Stegostoma tigrinum: one gene and its partners. The protein of the gene in region 1 interacts with the protein of each later gene in a biochemical or structural test. Links are inferred from orthologs where the notes say so. Each region holds a gene or a part of one and is shown in the gene's direction. Other genes may lie near its edges.

Region 1 (7,906 bases):
GAGAAAGAGTGAGTTTTGTCAGCTTGAGGAAAGATTTAGGAAAGTTAGCACAGAGCAGAGAGCATTAACCAAACAAACATCCTTTGAGGTGATGGGAGACGTTGATGGAGTTGGTCAAAGGAGGTCACCATCGACAAAGAACTGGAGAGGATTTTCTTTTAGATCAGAATAATTGCCAGGGTCTGAAACGCTTGGCTTGAGCAGGTGGTGGAAGCTAATTCCACAAGTAAGGGAGTGGTACTGGACGCTGGTCGGACTTCTCTGGGCTGCTCCACTTCAGCTGAGTGCCGTCTCAGTACTCACCAGAAATTGAAGACAGCACTTTCTTCCAGCTGCAACACTCAGGGTTGCAGGGTCAAAATGCATTGCTTTGAGTAATGTTTCCGATTTGGCAGCTTTCCTATCAAGTTGCCCAAGGAAATCCAGCACTGTAACCAAGTTGCCTCACAATCCTTTCTCCCACCTTCCCTGTTCTCAACAGGAACTGACTTTGAGACAGTGTAAACAAGGGGCATCTGTGTCCAGTGGATGAAAGGTTGGCAATTGCAGGGTCCAGATTGACGGTGACTGGCAAAGGAACTAGGGGCGAATGTTACAGAGATAGTAGGGACTGCCGATGCTGGAGAATCCGAGATAACACGGTGTGGAGCTGGATGAACACAGCAGGCCAAGCAGCATCAGACGAGCAGGAAAGCTTGACGTTTCGGGTCGGGACCCTTCTTCGGAATGGGGTGAATGTTTACTTGATGCAGTGTGTTGGTACAATCTGGAAGGCATGGCTTGAAAGAGCAGGTTCAACCACAACTTTCAAAAAGGAATTTAGTCAGTATTGGAAGGGAAGATGAAAGTACAGGCCTGTGGGCTTAAAGAGGAAATTGTAACTATTTGGAGAACTTTTTCCAATGATCTGGTGCAGGCACAAAGGACTGAATGACTTCTCTTCGTGTGGCTGATTCTCTGACTGTTTACCCGAGTGTGATGTGAGTGGTCAATACTGATTGAGTATTGATGTTCTGAGGAAGGGTCACTGGACCCGAAACATTGACTCTGTTTTTTCCTTCACAGATGCTACCAGACCTGAAGAGCTTTTCCAGCAACTTCTGTTTTTGTTCCTGGTTTGCAGCACCTGCAGTTCTTTTGGTTTTTATTGATTGAGTAGAACCTACGATGAACCTCCAAATCTGCTCCCACCTCAGTTTTTAACCCCTTGCTACTCCTTATTATGTACAGTGAGACTGTCCCTCTATTGTACCATGATTATGAAAATTAAGTACAATTCATAAATACTGAATAAATCTACAATTGATGACATGGCTATCAGTTTCAGTGGTACCGATCGATAATTGATATGCCTTCCTAACCTTTTGCAGTGTCTGTGGTGAGTATTCTGTAATGTAGAAAGTTCCAGGGTTTTAGCCTAATGACAATGAGGGAATAATATTAACATTTTCTGATCAACCTATTCTGAGATGTTATTAGACACCTGTGGAGCAGTTAGGACTTAACCTGGCCCAGGGACAATGCCGCTGAACTACAAGAGCCCTGCAACAATGATACATGTTGGTAACATGGATAGCACAGTACAAGTGATTTGACACACACTGACATCCAAACACACAGCCCACTAATCAGTTTTCTGATCCAGACCCTTTCATTCAGTTTAATTAAAGACAGTACAAGTGCCACATCGCAACATTTGCCATACCTTTTGCTGTAAAGAGGTCTCTGGTCCTGATCATAGAGTCATACAGCACAGCAATGGACTCTTCAGCCCAACTTGTCCATGCTGTCCAAGTTTCTCAAACTAAACCAGTCCCAGTCACCTGCGTTTGGCCCATGTCCCTCTAAACCTTTCCTATTCATGTACCTGTCCTTTAAATGTTATAATTGTGCCTGCATCTACCCCTTACTCTGGCAGTTCATTCATAGAATCCCTACAGCATGGACGCAGCCCATTCAGTCCACACTGACCCTCTACTACCCCTACCCTATTCCTGTGAACCTGCATTTCCTACGGCTAACCCACCTCGACTGTACATCCCTGGACACTCTGGTCAATTTTAGCATGGTCAGTCCATCTAATCTGCACAACTTTGGCCTGTGGGAGGAAACCTGAGGCCCCGAAGGAAACCCACGCAGACACAGGGAGACTTTGCAAACTCCACACAGTCACCCGAGGGTGGAATCAAATCTGGGTCCGCGGTGCTGTGAGGCAGCCGTGCTAACCACTGAGTCAGCGTGCCGCCCCAAACCACCATCTGTGTGAAAAATTGCCCCTGGGGTCCCTTTTATATCTTTCTCCTCTCATCTTAAAACATACCCCCTAGTTTGGAACTCCCCCACTCTAGGAAGAAGATGTTTGTATTCACCTTATCTTTGCCTCTCACGATTTTATAAACCTCTAACAGGTCACCTCGCAACCTCTTATGCACAAATGAACAAAGTCCCAACATATCCAACCTAGGCTTATAACTCAAAACTTCCAGTCTTGGCATTCCTGGTAAATCTTTTCTGAACCCTCTCCAATTTAATAATGTTCTTCCAGGGAAAATATGCCTTTAATTATCTAGAATAAAAGCTGGAACATAAATTTCATAAGATCATCCAAAATAACAGCAAAATTACACCATTCAGCCCATTGAGGCTGCTCCACCATTCAATCAGTTTCTCAGCCCATTCTCCTGCCTTCTCTCCCAAAACCCTTGATCCTCTTATTAATCAAGAACTTATCTACCTCTGTCTTAAATACACTCAATAGCTTGGCCTCCACAGCCTTCTGCAACAATGAATTTCTCCACAGATTCATGACCTTCTGGCTGAAGAAATTCCTCCTCATTTCAGTCTGAGTCACTCCTACCAGTGGAAATATCTTCTCCATATCCACTCTATCTACACCTGTCTGCATTCTGTAAATTTCAACAAGATACCCCCTTCATCTTTTGCCCAGATGGTATAGACCCAGAGTCCTCAACTGATCCTCATATGACAAGGCCTTCATACCTGGGATCATTCTTGTGAACCTCTTCTGGACCCCCTCCAAGGACAATACATTCTTTCATAGGTATAGAGGCAAAACTGCTTACAATATTCCAAATGTGGTCTGACCAAAGCATTATACAGTTTCAGCAGTGTATTCTAGCCTCTTGAAATGAATGCTAACATTGCAATTGTCTTCCTAACTGCCAACAGAAGCTGCATGTTAGCCTTAAGAGAATTCTGAGCAAGGACTCCTAAGTCTCAATGTGTTTGAGATTTCTGAAGCCTTTCCCCATTTAGAAAGTAATCTATGCTTCTATTCTTCCTAGCATATCCTCACACCATTCCAGCTTGTGTTGACAAGTGCCAAGTAACACTTGCACCAGACAATCAATATCTTCAAGCAAAAAAAAGGTTAGATTCTCCGCAACCATCTCTTTAGACATTGAATGGCATTAAAATGGATGAACTGGACCAGCCAGGCAATACTGCGTCTACAGCAGAAGGTCAGAGGCTGACAATCCTGCAGCAAGTAACTCACTTCCTGACTCCACAGGCTTTAGCATCTATAAGACACAACCAAATCAGGAGGGTTAGTAGGAACTGCCAATGCTGGAGTCAGAGGTAACACAGCGTGCAGCTGGAGGAACAATGCAGGCCAGGCAGCATCAGAGAAGCAGGAAAGTTGAAGTTTTGGGTTGGGACCATTCATCAAAAATGATTTGTGAAGAAGGCTCCCGAACCGAAACGTCAGCTTTCCTGCTCCTCTGATGCTGCCTAGCCTGCTGTGTTCCTCCAGCTCTACACTGTGTAATCTCTAAATGAGGAGGGTAATGACATACTCCCCACTTGCCCAGATGAGTGCAACTCCAAGAACACACAAGAAACCCATCCAGGATGAAGTAACCTGCATGATGGGCTCCTCATCCAACTCTTTCAAAATTCATTCCCTTCACCACTGACACACGCTGGCAACGCGGCGTACCATCACAATGCAGAAACTCACCAAGGATCTTTTGATACCATCTTCCAAATCTATGACCTCTACCACCTACAAAGGACAGCAGATATACGGGAACAGCAACCTCTGCAAAGTCCCTTCCAAAACTTCACCATCCTGACTTGGAAATATGTTGCCTTTCCTTCTGTGTCACTCTCAAAATCATGGACTAGGCCAGCATTTATTACTAAGTCCTAACTGCCCTTTAGAAGGTGGAGGTGAGCTGCCTTCTTGAACCACTGCAGTCGTGTGAGGTGAGTAAATCTTTAGCAAACTCTGTCTGTAGGGGGAGAGTTCTAGCCTATGGAAATGGCCAGTACTCCTTCCCTAACAGTATTATGGATGTATCTACATGGACTGGAATGGCTCGGGAAGGCAGCTTACCAGAACCTTAGCGATTAGCATTGCGCAACAAATGACAGCAGCTTCAAATCCCATAATCAATTTTGTTTGAAAAGAATCATGGAAGGCATTGGAATGGAAAGCATTGCAGAAGCTCAGCAGGTCCGACAGTGACTGCGGAGAAAAGAACAGAGTTACTGTTTCATGTCTAAAAGATTTTGTTCTGAAGGAGATTCATGCTGGACTTGAAATGCTGACTCTGTTTTCTCTCCACAGACGCTGCCAGACCTGCAGAGTTTCTCCAGCACTTTCTGCTTTTGCTTCAGGTTTTCAGCATCTGCAGTTCTTCGCTTTATGCGCAGTATTTTGTTTCTAAGTGAAAAAGATACCTCAATGATTCCCATTCCCCTTTAATAGCAATTAACATTTTCTAACCATCCTGCTCAAGAAATATTAATACGTGCCTCTGCAGCAGGAGCAGGTGGGACTTCAACCCAGGTGGCCTGGCCCGAGAAGCGACACCAGCACTGCGCCACAAGAGACCCCAAATATGATACAACTGAGGAGCAAGTGCGACTCGAAGCCAGGCCTTTTAGGTTAGAAGCGGGGGTACCGCAAGCGCACTCCAAGATCCTATTACCCTACATGTAACTATTTTCCAAAAATTGGTACATGCAACGCTCTGGTGGTTTTCGGTGAGACGCAGAATGCAATCTGCGAGGAATGACTGCATGTTCCAAGTCTGCATTGCAATCCTTGCGCCTCTGCAGCAATGGCCAGGAGAAGGGCCCCCACTCTTCTTGTGCAATTAATTCCAACCTATTTTTATCTGAATGATTTGGGGAAGACGCCAGGCGAGGATTGCAACAAAAAAATCCCGGACAGGGGTTCGCTGCCACCCTTTGCAATTGGTAACAAGAGGAGCCCAGCCTTGCGCTGGTGGGTGACAAGAGGACGAGAATGAGAGGGCGCGCGGTGCACCCTGGGAGGTGGAGTCCGGGACCGTCCGTCCACAAGGTGGCGCCGCGGGTCGTGGACTACAGATCCCGACAGGCCGGCCGTGGCAGCGCCTGCGCAGTGGTGGTGCCTCTTGTTCCCTTTAAATCGCTGGCTGTATAGCGCAGGCAGAGCGGTGCGATAGAGCGGAGCCAATTGAGAGTGTGCGGCTTTGGGTGCAAGGGGAAGAGCGCAGAAACAGCATTTAACCTGCGAATGCAATTCCCCTCCTGCAGCCTGAGGTTTGCTGCTCCATGTGGAGCTTTTTGCATATTATAGACTAGGCTCCCAGCTCTTTATCCCACATTCAGATCCAGTAATAGTAGCGGCTGGTCCCAGCTCATCGCCATTCAGCAAACATGGGCAACCGCGGGATGGAAGAACTGATCCCCCTGGTCAATCGGATGCAGGATGCTTTCGCTCAGATCGGACAGAATGCCAATCTGGACTTGCCCCAGATCGGGGTAGTGGGGGGACAGAGCGCCGGCAAGAGCTCTGTGCTGGAAAATTTCGTCGGAAAGTGAGTCGATGCACGCAATTTATTTCTGTCTTCTTTTCCCGTTATAAGATGTATTTTTACTTGAATGACCATAATTTATAACTGTGCCAGTGGCGTTGGATTTGTTGTTGATTTACCGTCCCCCCGCCCACCCAAAACGAAACGCCAAGACAGCAAATCCAGAGAGGCAAGGAGGTTTTAATGTTATCTGTTATTTATTAAACAAAACACCAGACCCGCTGCATTCAGAGCCGGATTCCTGCCCTAATCTTTGCTGCATGTCACTAGATAAACAGCGGGTCTAAATCGGCTGAGAATTATGTGGAAAGGCAGGACGAGATCACTGACATCAATTCAGCAGATTTAACCTTACGCCTGTCTCTGCCCCTTTGCAATGTCTGTTTTAAAATATCGGAAGGTCCAAATCTTGTTTCTATTCCATTTCTCCCCCGCACACACACACAGCCCAACCTGCGCAGTTAACAGTATTTAAAGGAGACCTATGTATGAAATCGGTAGGTTTCATGAGGCTGCTTTTCCCCAAACCGGGTTTCGCTGCGTCCACCTCATTCATTGACCTTAGCCCCAGCGGCACTGTCTCCCAGCATTTCAGCGAATTCCAGGTGGAGCCCCGGCAGCGTTCGCACAAAACAACAAATTTCACCGCATGCGGCGGTGAGTCCGCCATAGCGCCGTGTTACAGAGTGCTACACAGGGACACAGTGTTACTGTGTCCACGGCTGTTACATTGTATGTACCTGTGACCGACTGTGCCTGTCACTGAGGTATTTCTCAGTGTTCACCTGTCACTGCCTGTGTTAGTGTGTGTGACTGTTATTTTGTCACTGTGCCTGTCACTGTTGTTTTGTCATTGCACGTGACTGTCACTGCATGCTATTATGTCACTGCGTTACTGTGTGACTGTTATTTTGTCACCGACTGTGTCATTGTCTGTTATTGTCTGACTTATTCTGTCACTGTACCTGTGTCATTTGTGTGACTGTTATTCTGTCACTGTATGCCTCTGTGACTGTGACTGTGACTGCCTGTGTTAGTGACGTATTTTGACACTGTGTGCTTGTATCACTGTTGCGGTGACAGTCATTGTGTGTCCATCACTTGCTGCATGTTTGATGAGTGTGGGTGTGTTACATTGTGTGTAATGAGTGACTGTGGGTGTGTTATATTGTGTGTAATGAGTGACTGTGGGTGTTACACTGTGTGTAATGAGTGACTGTGGGTGTGTTATACTGTGTGTAATGAGTGACTGTGGGTGTTACACTTTGTGTGTGTGCGTGTCTGAGTGTCAGGAGGTATTAAACCGTCTATGACTGTGGGCCTTAGACTTTATGGGAGTTACGAGTGTGTGCATATGTTTGAGTGTTACACCTTGAGTGTGGGTGTTAGACTGTGAGTGACTGTAGGTGAGACACTTTGTGTGTCTGTATGACTGTGGGTGTTACACTGTGTGTTGGTGTTACAGTCTGCGTAAGTGGTAGACTGTGTGTGGGCATTAGACTGTGTGTGCGTGTCAGACTGTGTATGGCTGTTAGACCGTGTGTGGGTGTTAGACCGTGTGTGGGTGTTAGACAGTGTGCGAGTGACTGTAGGTGACACGCTTTGTGTGTCTGTATGACTGTGGGTGTTACACTCTGTGTGAGTGTTAGACTGTGTGAGTGTTAGACTGTGTGTGTGCATGTTAGACTGTGTGTGTGTTAGACTGTGTGTGTGGGTGTTAGACTATGTGTGTTGGTGTTAGACTGGGTGTGTTGGTGTTAGACTGGGTGTGTTGGTGTTAGACTATGTGTGTGTGTTAGACTGCGTGTGTGTGTTAGACTGCGTGTGGATGTTAGACTGTGTGTGTGGGTGTTAGACTGTGTGTGTGGGTGTTAGACCGTGTGGGTGTTCGACTGTATGTGGGTGTTAGACTGTGTGTGTGGCTGTTAGACCGTGTGGGTGTTAGACTGTATGTGGGTGTTAGACTGTGTGTGTGGGTGTTAGACCGTGTGGGTGTTAGACTGTATGTGGGTGTTAGACTGTATGTGGCTGTTAGACTGTGTGTGGCTGTTAGACTATGTGTGGGTGTTAGACTG
Region 2 (7,241 bases), on another chromosome or scaffold:
AAGAAAAATGGAGGATAGAGGTCATATTCTGAAGATATGGAAATTTGCCCGAGCAGAAAAAGCTTACACTGGGGCAGTCCCAGGATGGAAAAAATGAACAGGGACTCAAGGTGGTTTATTGAATTGCCAAAAAAACTAGAAGGTCGGGGCCATTCTAGAGACAGAGCTGATTTATTTTGCAAGACTGGTCCTGTCTCAGCCAGTCTGTGTTTGCCCTGGCAAATATAAAGGAGACAGCATGCCAGCAGTGAATACAGTAGACGAAATTGAAAGAAGTACAAGTAAAATGCTGTTTCACCTGGAACATGGGTTTGGCACCTTGGACAATAAGGAAAGAGGATGGAAATGGGTAAATGGTACACCTTCTGTGTTTGCATGAGAAGATGCCACAGCAGGGTCTTAAGTGCAGGCTGGAGGGGGCAGCTGTTGTTTTGGAAGGGTGAGCATAGAGGAGTGGACCAGGGTGTCACATAGGGGATGGCATTGGGGGATGCTGATAGTAAAGAGAAGGGGGAGATAAGTTTGGTGCTGGTCTCTGGCTGGTAGAAATGGTGGAGAAGATCCTTTGAATGCAGAGACTGGTGGAGTGGAAAGTGAGGACAGTAATATCCAACACCATTTTCCCACCAATAACTTGCTAACTGATGCTCCATTTGGTTTAATCAGGACATTTTGGGGCCATACCTCATTATAGTTTTGATCCAAGATAGAAAATAAATTTGAATTCCAGGGCTTTGGGACTACTGTCCTCAATATCAGAGGAACACTTGAGAATGTGTGGCATTGAGGAATGCTCACAAAATTGAAGTAAATAGGAATCGTGGGCAAACTCACCATTCATATTTTGCCTTGTACAAAGGAAGATCGCTGTGGTTGTTGCAAACTAAACTTCTCAACCCCGGGATATCTCAGCAGGAATTCCTCTGGGCAGCGTCCTCAGCTCCACAATCTTCAGCTGCTCCATCATCGACCTTGTCATAATCATAAGCTTAGAACTGTGTGATGTTTGGTGACAAGCTCTCAGATACTGAAGTAGTCTTTGTCCATATGCAATAAGACTAGGAAAACATCTTAGCCTGGCAAGTGGCAAATAACTTTGATGCCACTCAAGTACTAGGCCGTAAAACCTTCCAAATATATCTATCTCTAACACACTGCCTGACCACTTTCCCTCTTTATTCAATGACATCACTATTATTGAATCCTCATTATTAGTGGTAGTGTATTACCATTGACCAGAAGCACAACATAGCACAAGTCAGAGGTCAGGAATTCTGGGTCAAGCAACTTACCCTCCCACCTCCAAAGCCTTTCGAATATTTTCACAGGGCCTTAATTTGATTGTTATGGAATACTCACCACATGCCTGGATGGATAAAATTCCAAAAACATTCAAGAGGCAGATGGGCCTATTTTAGTTCAGAACCATGGTCGGCATGAACTGATTAGACTGAAAGGTCTGTTTCCATGCTGTATGACTCTATGACATCTTGGAGAAAGCAACCTGTTTGGGTTGCTTCAACTCCCCTAAATATATACTCCATCCATGATTGACATAGCATGTTCCAAATACAAATTGCATTTCAACAACTCACCAAATGGCACTTCCCATGCCGTCAACTTCTACAACCTGTAATGACAAGGACAAGCGACACATGTAATTATCACCTGCAAATTCCCTTCAAGTTGTACACTTTGGCAGCAGCTATACTGAACACAGTGCAGAGATTCCCCCACCTTAGACTGACTTCAATTTTGCTATGGCTACTTAATGCAGCACTGAAACCAAATGTTCCCTTAATATAAAAGTAATCAGCCTCACTTCATCTCTGGAACTCAGCTCTTTTGTTCATGTCTGGTCCAAGGCTGTAATGAGATCTGGAACCAAGTGAACTGGTGGGAGCCAAACTGAGTTTCCATTAACAGGTTATTGGAAACGACAGTCATGGCTTTTCTTCCCACTCCTGCACAATTCCTTCTGGTGTTTTCCAAGCATCTATCCTTGCTGTCTACTTTTTTTATCCCCATGCTGCCCGTCAGCAACATCATCAGAAAACACTGCATCAGTTTTCACATGTGTGCTGAAGGCACACAATCCAACCTCATTAACACCTTTCTCAATTTTGCTAATGGTTCAGAGTAAACCAACAGTTCAGGATTTGGTTGTGTTAGATTTACTGCTTTTCTGTGGACAAAACATTCTGGGCAACTTTCCATAATGCCAAATAGATGCCAGTGTTCTAGATGTTCAGCACTGGAATGGCATGACTAAGGACAAAGCTATTTCTACCACAGATAACAAGGTGTGGAGCTGGATGAACACAGCAGGCCAAGCAGCATCTTAGAAGCAGGCAAGCTGACGTTTCGGGCCTAGACCCTTCATCAGAACCCGAAACGTCAGCTTTCCTGCTCCTCAGATGCTGCTTGACCTGTTGTGTTCCTCCAGCTCCACACCTTGTTATCTCGGATTCTCTAGCATCGGCAGTTCCTATTGTCTCTATTTCTACCACATAAGTCTTTGGTACTACTGCTGAAATTTTGTCACTGCAATTTTACCTTTCCTGTATTCAATGCCCTTTTTTTAATGAAAGCACAAAATAGGAACATCAGGAAAAGTTCAAGATGGATCTTCCACTTACTCTTGTGGCTGAAGATGGTTGTGAACAATTCAACATTGCTTTTTCACACTCACATAGCTTTAAATTGAGGGGTGAAAGATATAGGACAGATGTCAGAGGTAGTTTCTTTACTCAGAGAGTAGTAAGGGAATGGAACGCTCTACCTGCAACGGTAGTAGATTTGCCAACTTTAGGTACATTTAAGTCATCAAAGGATGAGCATATGGACGTACATGGAATAGTGTAGGTTAGATGGGCTTGAGATCAGTATGACAGGTCGGCACAACATCGAGGGCCGAAGGGCCTGTACTGTGCTGTAATGTTCTATGTTCTACATGCTTGACTGTCTCATACTGATGATGGGGATATTGTAGAGTTTTTTTTGTCATTTGATTGGTCAATGCCATTCATGACTATAATAAAACGGAAATGCTGCTTATGTTGTAAATGGAAATTAAAGAAAACGAGTTGTTGGGAAAAATGAACAAGGCTGGCAACATCTGTGAAGAAGAAAACAAAATTAACATTTTGAACCATTGATTCTTCTTTGGAAATAATCAGGTATGTTCATACCTGTATGTGACAGAACTACAGGGCTTTGAACTGGTTCCTTATAAATAGGGTGCTTGACACTATTTCTTGAATGTTGCCTCCTCTGTTTCACATTCATGTAGTTCTGTATTGCAGCTTGGATGAGTTGACATCTCCCTTTCAGATATGATTGGTGCTGCATCAGGCAAAATCTTTTCATTGACTAAATTTGGTCCCCCAATTTGATGGTAATGGTGAAGTGTGATATGCCAGGCCATGAAGATACAATTATGGTTGGATGCAATTTTGCTGTTGACAATGGTTCACAGTGCCATGTTGTGTGCTGTAGATCTGCTCTGCATCTATTCCATTCAGCATGGTGGTGGAGATACACAACTGAGTGGAGATATATCCTCAATGTGAAGATGGGACATTGTCACTACAATGACTGTGTGGTGGTCACTCTGACCAATAGCATCATAGACAGAACTTCCCATGACATAAATAACAAGTACATCTTTGATGTATAACAAAAATGTTTGTCTTGTGTTACTCAGGGTTCTGCTGATTTTCTATAAAGTGGGATGGACAGGTGAAGGTGTGGACAGGTATTTGTTTTCCTCTTGTTGGCTCCCTAACCACCTAGTCTAAATCCAATCTGGTTTATATCTACTTAAGGACTGAGTCAGTTTGGCTAATGTTGTTGTTAGAATTCTTGCACCCAAAGTACGTTTGTGGCCCTACTACCTTCAGCATGTCTTTCATCTGACATTCAACGTTGTGGGGAGAGGGGATTGCATGGGTGCTGACTGTAATCAACAGGAAGTCTTCTTGTCTGTATCTCATGGAGATCGAAATGTATTTCGACAACTCGCAGGCCCACACTTTCTTGACCCCATACCATGGTGCCATCACTCCTGCTGGCGCCTAGAGCACTGGATGGTACGGTTCCGTGAGTTTCGCTATAATAGTTAGTTGCTCGGCTAGTCTGTGGGACAGCTCTTCAATGTTTCGACCTATATGCCCGCATACATGTCTGTCTGACTGCAACGAAATCTATCTCTGCATAATACAGACACCAAGCATTGTGCACCGCTGGAAGAAACGACTGTATAGAAATAGATTGTCTCTATTTTTAGCTGTCAGTGCGGATTTAATTCATCCTCATCGCTGGCGAAACGTGGCTGTGTCTTTAAGAGAAGCTGACGTCAGGTTGGGTCCGGATATCCTGGTTTTGCCGATAGTAATTTAATCCTGGAGTGAGATGAGAAGGAGCCGCGAAGGAGGCGAGAATAACCCTGTTTGCAAATAAGCGGCCGAACAGGACCGCTTCCTTTTTCTGCAGGAACCATGTCTGTGGCGGGACTGAAGAAACAATTCCACAAGGCTACTCAGGTAGGGAGATAGCTGCTGCAGCTCCGACACTCTCTGCCCCACTGCACCAAAGCGGTTTGAGCTTCAGTCCAAGCTTCGTCCCTGTCGTGCCTCTGTATTCTTAACCACCTTCCCGTTTTACAAGAAGTAATGATAGAATCCCCGTCTCGCTTCATGTCCCAAACCCTCCGGGGCTACACAACGCCGATTAATGAAGCAATGTCATTGTGTAGGTCGGGTCAGGCAGGATTCCTGTGGCGAAATCTGGGAACTTTGATGTTTCAGTGAGTGTGGGGCTCGCTGTGGGTTGATTTGCCAATGAGGTCTCGACAGAGGCGTTTCATTTTAGGGGAGAAGGGGTGGTGGTGGGAGAGAAGGGTTTTGAGCCTCCGTTTTCCCCGGGATGTTTGCGGGATCGCTGCGGAAATCATTTATTATTTAGTCCCCGGAGTGAGCCGCGTCGCAGCTTCTTTCTGGGTCTGTTGGAAGAGTGGCTTTCCAATGCCCTCAGTCGGCTCCAGGTCGCTATTGCGGAAATCCAGTCCTTGCTGCTGTCCCCCACCCCCCACGAGCAGTCTCCTGATCTTGGAATCAAGGAGGAGAAATGTCCTCTGAACAAGACCAATTTGCTGCTGCTGGTTAGATCGGCTCGCACCTCATTATAATGTTGATTTTTATATGATCTCAACACGTAAAACACCGCGGAAATAATTAATTTGATCCTGCCGCTGTCAATTGTGTATTGAGCATCCCAGCCATCAACAATTCTGTTTTGAGTTTCACCGCGCCTGCAATATTCTCTCTCTCTCTGTGTGTCTTTATTTTGAAATAACAGCCTCTTTCATCAAACGTCACGATCTTCGCCTCAGCTACTTTGGGAGAAATGTTCATTCCTCTGTCAGCTGGGCTGACCATTTTAAAGATTTTTCCCCTGTTCCCGGCTCTCCTGCATACTTACAGCTAATCCTCAGCTTGGAAGTTGAGGCGCCTGTTTACTGTCACTGACTCTGACTCTCTGGGTTTGAGACTTGGGGGACACTGGCACCGAAGCACATGGCAGATGCCTGCTGGCGGGTAGTTTGAAGAAAGGTGGGGGGGGGGGAGTGGGGAGCGAATCGGGGGAGATTGAGGAAAGATGCTGCAAGCATTTCAGTAGGTCACGAGTATATTAAGGATGGGACCGGTCCTGGGCACAACTGAATTACACATCCTGAAAGATGCATCGCTGCTGCTTCTCGATTTGAATTATTTCTTCCCATTGTCCTGCTATTCTCACCACCCCCCCCCCCCCCCCGCCCCCGCTCCTTCCCTCCCTCTTCGCAGCCATCAAAATTTCCATTTACTCTGTCGGACTTCAGCTTGCAATTTAACGTTAATATTTGCAATTATCCTGACAATCTTGGCACCACTTCTAAAGCATTTCCGTTCCAGGCTGGAATTCAAGTTCTGGTCCAGCATTTTGACTTCACTCCGGGCCTGATTCCAGGCACTGAACGTACGGCTTTTCTGTGCACTGGATGTAAATGGGTGACCAGAATTGGAATGCTGTGTTCGATATGCAGCATAACTAGAGCACTCTGCAGCTGCATTGAGACTCTGGGACGACTTACTGTCATATACAGCTAGTTTTGTAGAGTGCCCTGTTTCTGTTGAACGTGTCGTTGAGATGAGGGCGTTTTTTTAAACTCCAGAGATAACAATGTGGAGCTGGAGAAACACAGCATGTCAGGCAGCATCCGAGGAGCAGGAAAGTTGACATTTTGGGTTGGGACTTTTCTTCAGAAACGGATAGGGGGAAGGGAGCTCCGAAATAAATATAGAGAGGAGGGGTGGGGCTGGGGAAGGTAGGTGGAATGGGTGATAGGTGAGTGCAGGTAGGCAGTGGTGGGGCTTGGTCAGTGAGGTGGGCGGGGCAAGTAGGTGGGAGTGAAGATGGACAAGTTGTCAAGTCAAGGAGTTTGTATTAGGTCTGAAGAAGGGTCACCGGATCCCAAACATTAACTTTTTTTTTCCTTCACAGATGCTCCCAGACCTGCTGAGCTTTTCCAGCAACTTTGATTTTGTGTCAGGTCAAGGGGGCTGGGATGAGAGGGAGGGTTGGTCATGGGATGAGGCTGGGAGTGGGGAGATTTTGAAACTGGTAAAGCCCACATTTAGACCATTGGCCTGTAGGCTCCCAATCCGTTTCACACTATCTGTTGCCCCAGCACCATTCAGGGTGATCAGTCCTTGTTTGCACAATTTTCAATTGCCTGTATTAAATCTCATCTCCCATCTGGTCCAAATTTTCTCTGATTTCTGACTTGTCTTTTACAATTCCACCTCTCCTCCTAGCATGTGCTCATATGTGACATTGACTGCTATTTCCATGTTTCCAAAACCAGTGTCATTAATGTCAACGAGAAACAATACTGAATCCCCAGAGTCCCCACTGAGCACTCACTTCTATTCATATTCCATTTTGATTACTACCCTTGTGCTTTCTCCCCGAGTCTCTGCGGGTTTCCTCTGGGTGCTGTGGTTTCCTCCCACCATCCAAAGATGGACAGGTTAGGTGGCTTGGCCATGCTAAATTGCCCATAGTGCCCAGGGATGTGTAGGTTTACGGGCATAGGGTAGGGTGTGGGTCTTTGAAGGGTCACTGTGGACTGAATGGCTGCTTCCACACTGTAGGGATTCTAAGTTAGAATTCCCTCATGGTTCAGTGTCTCATACGTA
Region 3 (8,017 bases), on another chromosome or scaffold:
CAATTCAGTTAAATGATATCCAAATTATTTAGTTACCAGACACCACTTTCACGGACTTCAATGGCAGGTATAAACACAATGCAACATAAGTAAATATTACTGAAGATCACTAAATATTATTGTTATTTTAGCACTGAAATTGTTTTACACAATGCAAATCAATTGTGTGCTGAAAAATATTCTTGCCTTTAATCAAAATAGAGCACCTGCAAGACAACATGAAGAATCAATCTTTTTAAATTCTAATTGTAGTAACATGATACATGATGCAAATGACATAGTGGTTCTTATCTGTAATGCATTCATCTTAATAATATGTTCTTATCAAGGCTTGACAACATGTATCCTGACATGGCAATGAATGTAAATACCGCAGACATAATCTTTGAATTTAAAAAGGGAAATATCCCTAAAATTGAGAAGAATCAATCTTCACTAATTGTTCATCAGGAGAATTTGGGAATGTAGCAGATAATGAACAAACTGTACAAGCTGATTTTCCCTGAGCAGATTGTACATTTTGAATTGCAACGACTAAAAATAGCACCATGGAGATAGAATATATCTGTGCACACTCACCAACAGAAAAATTAACAGTACTTTTCATGTAAGAAAATATTCAAAAGCACGTTATGGAACCATAATAAAGCAAAATTTGACACTGAGCCATAATACAGTTATAATAAAACAGATTGTCAAAAGCTTAGCCAGAGAGAAGCTTTTGGGAAGAAATTCCAGAGTTAAGGCCCTTGGCAGCTGAAGATGCAGTCGCCAAGAGTGGAACAACTTAAATTGGGATGATCTGCAGCCCACAACTGAATGATTGTAGGGATTTTGGCAGGTTCTGGGGCTGCAGGAGATTGTATGCATATGGAGGGCAAAGCCACTGAGGGATTTGCAAACAAGGATAAGAATTTTAAATTGCTCGATCAGGAGCCAGTATGGGTCAACAAACAAAGGGAAATGAAATTTTGGACCTTGAGACCTGGGTATGAGAGTTTTGGCTGACTTTGAATTTACCCGGGCTACATTGGTGGAGGTCAACCAGGATGTCTCTTGAATAGTCAAATCCAGAGATCATAATGGCATTGATGAATGTCTCAGCAGCAGATGCACTGAGGCAGTGATTAAGTCAAGTGATTTAATGGAGGTGGAAGTGTGCTGTCTAAATCGTGGTACAGATGAGAGGTTGGAAGCTCATCTTGGGGTAAGATATGACACTGAAGTTGCTAACAGTCTGTTTTAGTTAGAGATAATTGCCTGGGAAGCTGACAGTGTCAACAGTTTGGAACGTGAGCTCAGACAATTGATTCAATCTTCTCAGTGTTTATTATCCCAATTTCAATATTAACCAATCTTTAGTAGACTACATGGAAAATTCCAAGATGAAAGTATGCTTTTTGGCATATCCAATCTGTAATGGCATTATCTTCAGCATGAGTAAATGTTTCAAGAGCCCACCTTTTTCTCAGATTTCCTTATTCCCCTTTTCTTCATTTACCCATTAATCTATTCTTAAACATTGATTTTGTTACTTGTTTTTGTCACTAGGTCTGGTAGTACAATCCACGAGCTCATGATGATATGCAAAAAAAATTCCTCTTTAGATGCATCGAAAACAGCAGCAAGAGTAGGCTATTCAGCCCTTCGAATCTGCTCTGCCATTCAATATGATCATGGCTGATGATTCAACTCAGTACCCTGTTCCCATTTTATTCCCATTCCCTTTAATCCCTGTATCTAACAGCGTCCTGAAAACATTCAAGATTTTGGCCTGTTTTTTTTGGGGCAGAGAACTCCCCAGGCTCACCATTCTATGAGTAAAGACATTTTTCCTCAACTCTGCTCTAAATGGTCTACCATGTATCCTTAGACTGGTTCTTTGACCTGAACATTTTGTATTTAAGCTTACTCGCTTGCTCCAGATGTAACAAACACTGAAAAGTGCCTATTCTAATGACTGACTGATATTTCATAATTTTAAATAATTTCATAACTTCCCATGTGCTTGGGAAAATTGAACAAATGGGAAATGAGCCATACTAATTTGTAAGGACACATATTTAACTCTTACCTAAGTTGGGTTAGTTCAATGTACAGAGTAATTATTCAAAATTAACCTCATTGCTCTAATTTAAGTGCAACAGTTGGAAATTGCATTTATAAAGAGAAGTCAGGACTCACATATAATAAATGGCACCTTAAAATTTAGTGGACTATTGACATTGTCCCCCTCAGCTCCAAAATTTAGACACAGAAAGTAGCAGAGATGTGGAATCTTTCCAAATCAGGGAGCTTTTCTGCGCCTCTGATGCTGCCTTGCCTGCTGTGTTGATCCAGCTCTACACCTTGTTACCTCAGATTCTCCAGCATCAGCAGTTCCTACTTTCTTTGGAATCTTGTTGTTCTCAACATAAAGATGTCTGACATCAGGATTCATTTCAATGAGGAGGGAAGGGGTCTCAAAAAACAGTCGCTGAGCAGCAGGAAAATAGTGTTAAAAAAGAAAAGAGTGAAAAAACAGCCAGGGAGTTATCCTGGGATACCAAGGTGTAGAGTTGGATGAACACAGCAGGCCAAGCAGCATCACAGGACCAGGAAAGCTGATGTTTCAGGCCTTAGACCCTTCTTCAGAAATGGGGGAGGGGAAGGGAGTTCTGAAATAAATAGGGAGAGGGGGGGAGGCAGATGGAAGATGGTTAGAGGAGAAGATAGGTGGAGAGGAGACAGACAGGTCAAAGAGGCAGGGATGGAGCCAGTAAAGGTGAGTGGAGGTGGGGAGTTAGGTCAGTCCAGGGAGGACGGACAGGTCAAGGGGGTGGGATGTGGCTAGTAGGTCAGAGTAGGGGACAGGTGGGAGGAAGGACAGGTTAGGGAGGTAGGGACGAGCTGGGCTGGTTTTAGGATGTGGTAGGGGGAGGGGAGATTTTGAAGCTTCTGAAGTCGACATTGATACCATTGGGCTGCAGGGTTCCTAAATGGAATATGAGGTGCTCTTCCTGCAACCTTCGAGTAACATCGTTGTGGCATTGCAGGAAGCTCAGGATGGACATGCTGTCTGAGGAATGAGAACAGGAGTTGAAATGGTTCGCGACTGGGAGGTGCAGTTGTTTACTGTGAACCGAGCGGAGGTGTTCTGCAAAGCGGTCCCGAAGCCTCCGCTTGGTTTCCCCGATGTAGAGGAGCCACAACGGGAGCAGTGGATACAGTACAGCACATTAGCAGATGTACAGGTGAACATCTGTTTGATGTGGAAAGTCTTCTTGGGGCCTGGGATGGGGGTGAGGGGGGAGATGTAGGGGCAGCACTTCCTGCGGTTGCAGGGAAAAGTGCTGGGGGTAGTGGGGCTGGAGGGGAGTGTGGTGCTGACAAGGGAGTCATGGAGAGAGTGGTCCCTCCGGAAAGCAGATAAGGGTGGGCAGGGAAAAATGCCTTTAGTGGTGGGGTTGGATTGCAGATGGTGGAAGTGTTGGAGGATGATGCGTTGGATCTGGAGGTTGGTGCGGTGGTACGTGAGGGTGAGGAGGATTTTGTTTTGGTTGTTATTGCGGGGAGGGATGCAAGGGATGAGTTGCGGGAGACATGGTCGAGGGAGTTCTCGATCACTGGGGGGGGGTTGGGGGGGATGTTGTGGTCCTTGAGAAACGAGGACATCTGAGATGTATGGCAGTGGAATGCCTATTCCTAGGAGCAATGTGGTGGAAGTGAAGGAATTGGGAATAGGGGATAGCAGTTTTACAGGAAGGTGGGAGGGAGGAGGTGTATTCTAGGTAGCTGTGGTGGGCTTGAAATGGATATTGGTTTCCACAGATGGAAACATAGAGGTCCAGGAAGGACAGACAGGTCAGAGATGGTCCAGGTGAACTTAAGGTTGGTGTGGAAAGTGTTGGTGAAGTGGATGAACTGTTTGAGCTCCTCCTGGGAGTATGAGGTGGCGCCGATACAGTCATCAATGTAATGGAGGAAGAGGTGGGGCCAGTGTAGCTACGGAAGAGAGATTGTTCCACAGAACCTACAAAGAGGCAGGCACAGCTTGGGCCCATGCAGGTACCCATGGCCACCCCCTTTGTCTGTAGCAATGGGGAGGAATTGAAAGAGAAGTTGTTGAGGGTGAGGAGTGCACCATTCAGTTGGCAGAAGGAGAGCCAGAACAGCAGTTTGTACTGTGATGGAATGGAGGTTCAAAAAATGTTTTCTGCCCCAGGCAACCCTTTTCCTGAGTGTTTTTCATGTGGCACTTGTTGACTCACGTTTCAATTTTCCAAGACAGAGAGAAAACAAAACTTTTTTCACTGGCTCAAGAGAAGTGAAGCAAATTCCCAATTTCGAAAATTAAAGATGTGGTCTCTTACATTGGCTGAAGAGTAATTCCCCTTAAAATTTAAAAGTGTTTAAACTTTTCACTTTTTACATGTGCAACATCCACATTTAAACATACTTGGAGTTGATCCCCCTTCACCTTAAAGGTCTTGACTCACCTCAATTCTTCACCTCGATTCCAGCTTGTAGGAACTATTTCTCCCTGATCAAGGCCTTTCTCCGTGGAGTTCTTCAAAAATAAAACTAACGTTCACACAATACCGTTCTAGAGATTTAGGCTTCGTTTTCCAAGAAAAACCACAAACCCCATTAAGACAATTTTCTTCGTGTAGAAGTATATCCATACAAACCACACAACATGTGACTTCAATCCTCCAGAACGATAGGTGGCGCTACGCCTACAGTCTGAATAACTCCTGCTGAGGAGGTCAGGGTTGAAAGAACGGGCACAGGCTGAATAGCTGGAGTGCGGCTGAGGGAGGCGGTGTGTTCGGAGGACCGTCTAACGGCTGAGTCTGGCGCGCTGCTGTGGGGAGCGCTGTATTTGGAAGACCGTGTGACGGCTGAATGGCTGCAGTGCAGCTGATGGCGGCGCTGTGTGTGGAGGACAAAGTCCGCTGTTTAACTTTTCGCCGGCGGGTGGCGCTCCTTGTCGCGCTGCCGGAAGTAGCTGCGGTTGCCATGTAGGATTTCTGACAAGAGTCTGTGAGGGGGAGAAAGAGAGAGGCGGGGGTTGAACATAGAGAATAACAATTGAAAACGGCCACGTAATCGAGCTTTTTTAAAAGTTGTGGTCGGTTAAAAGTGTGCGAGGATGTCGGTGGCCGGGTTGAAGAAGCAGTTTTACAAAGCGAGCCAGGTAAGGAGGCTGGGCCGGGATCTGGAGTCTGGGGGGGGGGTCTCTCAATGTGAAGGAATGAGCTCTCACCCCGGCTGATGCCAGTGTCATACAACCCTCGCTGCCAATAGGCACACTCGCTCTAACTTACTGCTGCAGCATGGTTCACATGTTTTCAAGGTCTGTGTGGCGGCTATAAAAATAATCCAACTTTCCTTGTTTACATTTATGTAATTGTTAAAAGAAAAAAAAATCAGTTTTTTTTGTCGCTGTGAAATTGGAGTTCGAGCTTGATTTCAATTGGCCAGCAATTTCCGTTTGAATCCAACTTTTTTTTTCCCTCGTACAAAAGGAATGGCAAACAGGAACGCTTCATTTTCGATTTTTAAAACAAATAAGTGGATTCGTATAAATGAAAGAGAGACTAGTTGTGCAATCTCTTCTCCATACGTATTGGGCTGTCAGATCCGAAGGTCTATTTTTTAGCGTCGACAACTTGAATCCGTTTGTTGGTTTAAAAATGCGAGACTAACTTCAAGCCTCGTTTATTGCTGAATCTCTTTTTTTTCCCCCAAACTCTTTAATCTTGGACTTAGGTTAAGTAATGTTCCTCTAGACGCAGATTCATGAAGTTTTTGACAGCGTTAATATTTAGGGTTTTAGGGAGACGGTAGCGTTAATTCCCACAAATATTCAAGTTGTTTGTTAGTTGTCCGGACGTCTACAGTTAAAATACATGCAATTTCACAACGTGCCGAAGCTCACTGGCATATTTTAACAGTTAACTCTAACCCTCAGAAAATTGACAGGTAGGGAAAATAAAACGCACATCTTATTGATGTCCAGTTGAAGTTTAGCTCCCAACTTTAGTCTGAGCAGCATTTGAAGTAACAAAAACAGAAATTGCTGGAAAAAAAATCAGCCGTTCTGACAGCATCAGCAGAGAGAAAGCAGAGTTAACATTCCGAGTCCCGTGATCCTTCAGAGCTGCTGAGTTTCTTCAGCAATTTCTGTTTTTGTTTCAGATCTTCAGCGTCAGCATTTCTTTGTTTTGTTTTAGAATATATAATTGATTTCATTATTTCTGTCACATGTGAAATCAGAATTGTTGCTGGTAATGTTTGTCGAAAAATAACAAAGTGGATGCTTGGTTAGGATAGCATCAAGATTGTCTTGTGGTCAGTTTCACTGAACTCATCATCAAATAGAACATAGAGTCATAGAGATACACAGCATGGAAACAGACTCTTTGGTCCAACTTGTCCATCCAACCAGATGTCCTATGCAAATCTAGTCCCATTTGCCAGCATTTGTCCCATATCCTTCTACAGCTTTCCTTTTAAAAGATATCTGGATGGATATATGAAATGTAATTGTACCAGCGTCCAGCAGTTTGTCTAGCAACTCGTTCCATGCACGCACAATCTCTGCATGAAAATGTTGCCGCTTGGGTTCTTTTTATATCCTTCCCTTCTCACCTTAAACCTATACCCTCTTGTTTTGGACTCCCTCACCCCAAGGAAAAACCCATGTCTATTTACCGCACCCATGCCCCTCATGATTTTATAACCATCTATTAGGTCACCCCTCAGCCTCCGATGCTCAGGAAAATGGCCCCAGCTTGTTCAAACTCTCTCTATAGCTCAAATTCCCTAACCCTGACTGCATCTTTGTAAATCTTTTCTGAACCCTTTCTAGTTTCACAAAGTTCTTCGTAGAGGGGGAGACTAGAATTGCACAGAATACTCCAAAAGTGGTCAAACCAATGTCCCAATGTACAGCTGCAACATGACTCAATGCACTAATCAGTAAAGGCAAGCATACCACACGCTTCTTATCAGTGGCTCAACTTTCAAGGAACTATAAACCTGCACTCCAAGGTCTCTTTGTTCAGTAACACTCCCCAGGACCTGTCAATTTAGTGTATAAATCCTGCCCTGATTTGCCTTTCCAAAATGCAACATCTCACATTTTGTCTGAATTAAACTCTATCTGCTAGTACTCAACCCATTGGCCCATTTGTATTCTGAGGTGATCATCTTTGCTGTCTGCTACATCTCCAATTTTAGTGTCACCTGCAAACTTACTCCTATGATCACATCCAAATCATTTATATAAATGACAAAGGCAGTGCCCTACACCAAGACTTGTGGCACATTCTGGTCACAGGCCTCCAGTCTGAAAACCAACCTCCACCATCATCCTGTGTATTCTACCTTTGAGCCTGTTCTTATCTAAATGGCTCATTCTCTCTGTATTCCATGTGATCTAACCTTGCTAACCAGCCCACCATGGGGAACCTTGTCGAACACTTAACTGAAGTCCATATGGATCACGTCCATCACTCTGCCCTCATCAATCCTCTTCATTACTTCTTCAAAAAACTCAATCAAGTTAGTGACACACGATTTCCCACACACACAGCCACATTGACTATCCCTAATCAGTCCCTGCCTTTCCAAATACATAATTCTATCCCTCAGGATTGCTTCCAACAACTTGCCTACCACCGACTTCAGTCCCACTGGTGTATAGTTCCGTGGCTTTTCCTTACCACCTCTCTTAAATAGTGGCATCATTTTAATCGACCTCCAGTCTTCCAGCTCCTCACCTGTGGCTATCGATGATGCAAATATCTCAGCAAGGGGCTCAGCAATTTCTTCCCTCACTCCCTACAGAGTTCTAGGGTACATCTGATCAGGTGTGGGGGATTTATCCAAGTTTATGCATTTAAGACTTTCAGCACCTTCTCCACTGTGCATGTGGTTCAGTTATAATGCATGTTCCAGCAGTGCAAAGTAGGTATAACACGACTGACGAATAGGAGAACACTATTTCTAAAATGCAAACTTGTTTTGG

What was found.
Region 2: the proteins of dynamin-1 (region 1) and endophilin-A1 form a complex in vitro, tested with the Homo sapiens proteins (2 studies listed by BioGRID and IntAct, with this or other methods). The link is inferred for Stegostoma tigrinum from reciprocal best matches to the Homo sapiens genes DNM1 and SH3GL2.
Region 3: the proteins of dynamin-1 (region 1) and endophilin-A2-like form a complex in vitro, tested with the Homo sapiens proteins (2 studies listed by BioGRID and IntAct, with this or other methods). The link is inferred for Stegostoma tigrinum from reciprocal best matches to the Homo sapiens genes DNM1 and SH3GL1.

The regions. Positions count from the first base shown.
Region 1 is NC_081382.1:36,991,798-36,999,703, forward strand, and holds the start of dynamin-1, read left to right. Parts: upstream 1-4,864; 5' UTR 4,865-5,673; coding exon 5,674-5,834; intron 5,835-7,906. UniProt on the Homo sapiens protein: Catalyzes the hydrolysis of GTP and utilizes this energy to mediate vesicle scission and participates in many forms of endocytosis, such as clathrin-mediated endocytosis or synaptic vesicle endocytosis as well as rapid endocytosis (RE).
Region 2 is NC_081356.1:23,525,794-23,533,034, reverse strand, and holds the start of endophilin-A1, read left to right. Parts: upstream 1-4,201; 5' UTR 4,202-4,499; coding exon 4,500-4,544; intron 4,545-7,241. UniProt on the Homo sapiens protein: Implicated in synaptic vesicle endocytosis. May recruit other proteins to membranes with high curvature. Required for BDNF-dependent dendrite outgrowth.
Region 3 is NC_081383.1:32,289,010-32,297,026, forward strand, and holds the start of endophilin-A2-like, read left to right. Parts: upstream 1-4,977; 5' UTR 4,978-5,134; coding exon 5,135-5,179; intron 5,180-8,017. UniProt on the Homo sapiens protein: Implicated in endocytosis. May recruit other proteins to membranes with high curvature.